2 linked regions of the Drosophila melanogaster genome follow. The protein of the gene in region 1 binds, or shares a complex with, the protein of each later gene. Each region holds a gene or a part of one and is shown in the gene's direction. Other genes may lie near its edges.

Region 1 (3,195 bases):
TATAATCTCCCTAGCTGTTCCCGGTGTCTTTTCAAAGTGCACATGAAGATCACTGAGCATGCGACGCACTGAATCCTTATAGTAGAACAGAACATTCGCCAGCTGGGTGTTTTGCTGCTGCTGCAGATTGGGCAGATCCACGACCTGCTTGGAATCAGCTCCCAGCTTGATTTGAGCCTCTAGTTTTGTGCACAACTCTTTTCCACAGGCCGCAAATACATTTGCTATGGCATTCGTGAGACGGGAATCGATCAAAGCAGCACTGAGCTCCGTTGATGCCACACGAATAAAGTTGTCCACCGTTTCGTTGCCGGGCAAATCGACTCCCGCCAGACATGCCTTAAAGTTGGCAGCACACTTGCTAACGTAACCCACTTCCAGGGGAGCAAATAGTTCGTTGTCAAACTGAAACTCGCCATGCAGACGCTGCTCCAAGCCACGAGCGGAGGTCAGGAGCTTTGAGAGCCCCTCCTGAAGGGTCTGCGTAACATGCTGGGGGCATTCGTCAAAGGATTTTCGCAGGAGCTGCTGCACCTGCTGCCAAAAACGCTGCGGAATGCACTGATCCGATGATTCTGATGTATAGCCAAACTGGTTGATCTGCTCGAGAGCCGTTTTCAGCAGCTTGATTTGCGTGCAAGTCTCAAAAAGTTCATCATAGAGCAGCCAATGAAGAGACTTCCAGAACTTGGCACGGAAGTTTTGAGTGGTTGTCAACTGGGGAGTTTTTCCTGGTCCCCTCGAGGGAGCAGGTTTGCTCACATTGTGCGTCGGGGACTTGTTCAGCACAGATATATCGTTGCCAGCAAAGCACTCTTTCAGAGATTGCTCCATGTCGGCAATAAAGGTGGCCAATAGGTTATCCAGCGATTTTTCCAGCGTATTGAAATTCATAAAGATCTAAGGAATAAGAACTCTTAGGTATATGCTAGAAAAATGTTTGTTATATCCACCTTCAAGGCATTAACCACTTGGTTTTCATTGCGCTCCTGGAGCCCAGTGACCAACTGCATCTGCGTGAGGTTCCTTATCTTCTGAGCAGAGCTGATCACATAAGCTCGCTCCTGCTGGATAAAATCAATGTCCTTTAGCTCCTTATCTTCGATGAGTTGGCCCAACTCAAAGTGGATTTCGGCCAGGCGTAGGACATCCTTGGTCGCTTTTAGTTTGGCCGTGAGGCTCAGCAATGTTCCAGCCGAGCGGAGTAGGTGACTGACATCGTGCAGACGCCCTAGCACTTGCGTTTGGTTCTCCACCTGCTGGTACTGCGTGTCCACCTGGTTCTTCAGCCGGTGCCCAGTTTCCCTGACCCGCTGCACATCCTCGGCGAGCGCGTTTAAAGCCGCATCGAAGCGCCCAGCGTGGGTGGCCTGCTGCAGTAGAGCTCCGTGCTTGTCGCGCACCTGCTGGTGCAGCTCCTCCTTCGTGTTCTGCAGTTGCTTGGACAGCTCCTGGATTTGCTGGCCAATGGTCAGGTGCGACATGGATGCGGTAAAGTCATTATCATCCGAATCCGCTGCGTTTGGGGTCTTTGTCGCTACCGGGTCTCCAGTCACCATGATGCAGAAGGTTTTAATCTATGGTAATACGAATTATAAGCTGGTATTACACTTTTATTTCCATTACTTGCAGCAATTTTACGTATTGCAAACAAACTGTTTTTCCACGCAACCAAAAACAGGCTGTAATCGATAAATTTCCAGTTGAGCGGGGATTGAATTTTTTGAAGGGGTTTCTAAAAAACTATATAAAGTATTGCGTGATAGCTTAATAATATAATATTTAAATAATAATGTTAAAAACTAGCCGCATCCTTTTTCCGCTTGCTGAAAATATTTTACTTCGACCGCCGACTACGCCCCTGCCACATGAACTTATCGATAACTTGAGGCAGCTGTTGCTCACTTTGTTTTGTGTAAATAATTGGATGCGGAGAAAAACGTATTATTATTGCCATACCTTCTCTAGTCTTTCGCTTTAACAAATTTTCCATGTCGGACGACATCAAGAAGTATTTAGACGGCCTGCTGCAAAAGTAAATATTCCACAGGAAAGGCTGTTCCCAATATGATTAACTTATAATTTTTCCCCCATTCCCCGATTTACACAAAAGGGTCAGCGGGCTGTACGTTATTCAGATTACGGATCGCGACGGAGTGCCCCTCCTGCGGGTTAGCCAGGAGAAGAACGTGGACTTCGCCCTGATGCCCTCGTTCATACCCACATTCACCACCGCCTGCGATCAGGCCAGCAAACTGGGATTGGGCAGAAACAAGACCATCATCTCCATGTACTCCAATTACCAGGTGGTCCAGATGAACAAGCTGCCGCTCATCCTGACCTTTGTGGGCGCGGAGAACTGTAACACGGGACACATTCTCGCACTGGAGCACCAGGTCGATGGCTATTTGGAGGACATTAAACAGGCTGTCACCGAGGCCTAAAGTTAGTCTACCTTGTAATATGCATATTTTTAATATTTACTAAATGTTTATACATACATACTTTATTGAGAACAGAATGAGTTTTTAAAAATCTCAACTCACCATTGTACTATTCCGGGAATTTATTTCATATCCTGCGAAGGGTGATCTCAAAGATGAACAAAGTTCCGAGTCCTCCGTTTTGGCAACAATATCAAATATGCAAACTATTGACACTTTATTTAAAATGAAAAATTCTTGCTGCCTAAAATGTGTACATTCAATTAAATTTCTTCATATAGTTTCTCAATTATAATATACTTTTCCCTATACCTTGAAATCGTCTGTGCTCAAGTATCACGAAAGTAAAATATTTGTATGTTTGAGCTCAAGGAAACCGACTTTAAATCAACATTTTCATTCAGTGATGTTATCTGTTTTAAAAATACTAGGTGTTTACACTTTATTCAGAATGAAACTTGATGTACTTTTTGCTTAAATGCATATACTGAGTTAATTAGCTACAATTCTTGATGGTTTTCCTGCTGCAGTTTGGGAATGATCTCGACAAAATTGATATTCTCCTTTAAAACTAAAATACAATCCCCAAATCTCTGGTCTACGCATGCCAAGCATTCACATTTCTCTGCGGCTCATCCTCATCGTCGATTGTTGAACATTTCAGAGTTCGTCGTGCAGATTCTCCGATTCGGACTGGAAAGCTTCGCTGTCGCAGGCGGCGGGAGTTTCGAATTCAAAGTAGTATTCACAG
Region 2 (3,037 bases), on another chromosome or scaffold:
TTATATTGTTAGCGCCTTCAGAATCCCCCTTATCTGTGGGGATACTGATCTGAAACTGCAGCAAAACCACCAGATAAGTGACCATTGTGGTTAAGAGTCCTTTAAAGAGAGTCCTGTTCACATCAAAAAAGCCACCGCAGTTGATGGTCGATGGATTCATTTCGGTGGCTCGCAAAAACATATTTATCTCCGTCTGGGCATCCGAGTTCATCCAGTTAAGCTCCACCATGAGTAGTTTCTTCTGGAAATTGGTTCGCACATTAACCGAGGCATAATGTGCCTCATCGCAAATATAGAAGAGCAGTCCTATGTTCCACAAAGCCGTGATAGTCAGTCCTATGTCCTTGATGCCAAATCCCTCGGAGAGTTGCGACATTAGTCCATAAATCGAAAGGGTAATGATGAAGAACAAGTAGAGGCTCATGAAAACAAAGGTGTAGCACAGGGCATTTCCAGTATCACGGGTCAACTTGCTCAGTCGTAGCCACAGAACACGGTAGTCTGCCACCATGGCAGCGGGTCCAATGTGTTTCAGTGCCTTCTGGAACCGCTCCGCCAGAAGATGAGCCGTAATGCTCATGGCCTCGCAGATGAGGAACCACCAGGCACCCAGCATTGCAGTCAAGTTGTCCAGGATGCAGTAGGGCACCACCTGGTTAATGTTCAAATCCGACATGGTGACGTGCGTGATGACCACCGATAAAACCGAGAGAATTGGCAGCACGATGGCTATGTACACCGCCTTCTGTCGCAATTTCAGAGGCAAACTGTGCCCGGATATCTGGTAGTACAACACCTCAAAGTCATCCCAATCATTGAAGAGCTTTGCTATCTTCCTGGCCTCGTACCACAATATTGGTATAATCATAATGGGCAGGATGTTGACCAGAAAGAGGTATGCAATAACCGCCTCCTCGAAGGGTCCACTCAGGGAGCGCACAATGTGGATGCGGTTGTTGGCCACATAGCCTACATAGCACTGTAAAGCGGTTTTGGGTTACATAATGGTATCCATAGTCAATTTTGAAAAATGTTATGCAAACACCACACTCACCGCCAGGAGCACAAAGAAAACCACCGAGTAAATAAAGGAGGCGGAGTTCATTTCGAACTTGGCACGAGCAGGACCATGTCGCACGATGGGTAATACTCCAATAATCCTCAAGAACCAATTGATGGGATCTATGTTTCGGTAGAAAACACTCTGAAAGCAGCGAAATTCAGTTTTACAAAAATGGTTTTAACAGCGTAGCAATCCACAAACCGGCTTAAATTCCGGATTATTGGACGCCGTGCTGTCCGAGCTCTTTTTCCTATCCAACGGAGGAGCTTCGTAATCCGCATCCAATCGCTCCGCCAATCCAATGGAGTACTTGCGGACCCCGTACAAGTATGCCTGGGCATTAGCACTGTTCAGCGGTTTTGCATTGAGGAACACCGCGTCACCCTTCTTGCGTCGATAGTAGTTGGCCATTCCGGAGAGACTGTGTCCGGAATTTCCTTGTCCGTGGCCTTTTACCACTTTTTCGCCAGACGGACGCATTAGCCATGCACCTGCACACGCCCCCTTATCGACCACGCCCTCTGTTGACTTAGAGCCGGAGTTTTAGTTTCCTGTTGATGTGCGTTGTTTGTCTTTTGAATGAATTAACCTTAGCCCGGTGTCCCAATTTCGAATTTGTGTCAATGGCGCGCATGTGGCAATTTACAACACTGAAACCGGGCTGCCAGGCTACCGATTTGGTATCTAAATGGATCTAGTCCGGTCACACTGGTGGGTGTGGGTGCGAAAGATAAATAAATAAATATGTTGAAAATGGACAGGGAAAAGTTGATTGTGCCCAATCAAATTGGCTATCTGATACTAAAGGAAGATGGAGCAGTTCTGGAGTCCGGCGGAGATCTGAAGAACGATGAGCGCAGTGCAAATGTGATAATGGGATTACTAAATCTCACAGAGACGTGCGTTTTTAAACAAAGGATGAAGGAATTTTGTAATAATTACGCCTATATTGTAGCATCGACGAGTCCTTCATGCCGAGCAGCAGCTGCGAGAGGATCACCATCGATTACGAGCATCACTACTACAGCATCTGCATGTCCAACCGTAGAATATACATCATTAAGATCAGCAAATCGCAGAATGGCGTCACCACGACCACGAGCTCCTCCTCGTCGAACAGCGTGTATAACGATGCCAGCGATTCCGGGGCAGTGCTGGCTTGAAATCCGTCGTCGGATGTCCGACCCACTTGCAGATTCTGTTGGCAAGCAACCGGACAAAGACCCCACAATTGGCGCACTCCCATTATTTACCTAATCCTCCTCTTTATTTGTCAAAAAATACATCATCTGTGAGCTCTTGCTCGAAAATGCGCCTCGCTTCCTGGGTGACGTCCAGCAAGGTGGCCTTGCTATTGCACAGGATCACATAGTACTGCCTGTAGTTACAGCGCCGCTTCACAATCCAATAGTCATTGGTGGTCTTGACCTGAACTTCCTCGGCAGGAGCACTCTCCATTTCCGCCTTGCCACTGCCATTGGCCAAGTCCGCAATGATACTAAGCACATTGCGGGGCAGCCCTTGGGGCAGGTGCCTCTGAAAGTTCGTGTGGTGCTGCAGGCTTTGTTCGTTAATGAACAAGTACTTCGGCGCCGTTTCGCTGTTCCCGCTGGAGTTGTCCTGGCCTGCAGCACCCACCGCCTCCTTTGTCAACTCGCTGGATATGTCCCGGGCCAACGAAGTCAGTTGGGGAGCCATGTAGGCATGGAGATCGTCGTAGAGATCTTGTTTCGGCGCAACCTGGTCAGCTGACAAATGTGGAATGTTTCAAGTTGATTATTTTGGCTATTTAGTTCTAATCCTTAACATACCATTCAGAAACAGACACAGAGTTATGTGCAAAGCGCGGTAGATGAGCAAGTAGTAGGGTTTGGCCTCCTTGTCCAGTGTCACATAGACCTTCATTGGATGATCTTCCTCATTCACAGCGTCATGTTCATCTCCTGCGACCTTCTGACGACTTCTTACGAATCC

Evidence for each region.
Region 2: Lamtor3 (region 1) and Lamtor4 share a complex: the UniProt entries of both Drosophila melanogaster proteins name them as parts of the ragulator complex.

Annotation. Positions count from the first base shown.
Region 1 is NT_033779.5:17,479,343-17,482,537, forward strand, and holds Lamtor3 (late endosomal/lysosomal adaptor, MAPK and MTOR activator 3), read left to right. Parts: upstream 1-1,888; 5' UTR 1,889-1,991; coding exon 1,992-2,035; intron 2,036-2,113; coding exon 2,114-2,444; 3' UTR 2,445-2,695; downstream 2,696-3,195. Other genes in the region: fws (four way stop), read right to left, coding at 1-900, 954-1,559; GCS2beta (glucosidase 2 beta subunit), read right to left, coding at 3,105-3,195. UniProt on the Drosophila melanogaster protein: Regulator of the TOR pathway, a signaling cascade that promotes cell growth in response to growth factors, energy levels, and amino acids. As part of the Ragulator complex, may activate the TOR signaling cascade in response to amino acids.
Region 2 is NT_037436.4:3,895,130-3,898,166, forward strand, and holds Lamtor4 (late endosomal/lysosomal adaptor, MAPK and MTOR activator 4), read left to right. Parts: upstream 1-1,770; 5' UTR 1,771-1,807; coding exon 1,808-1,962; intron 1,963-2,018; coding exon 2,019-2,226; downstream 2,227-3,037. Other genes in the region: Gr63a (gustatory receptor 63a), read right to left, coding at 1-979, 1,055-1,204, 1,265-1,474; Ccz1 (Caffeine, calcium, zinc sensitivity 1), read right to left, coding at 2,330-2,811, 2,875-3,037. UniProt on the Drosophila melanogaster protein: Regulator of the TOR pathway, a signaling cascade that promotes cell growth in response to growth factors, energy levels, and amino acids. As part of the Ragulator complex, may activate the TOR signaling cascade in response to amino acids.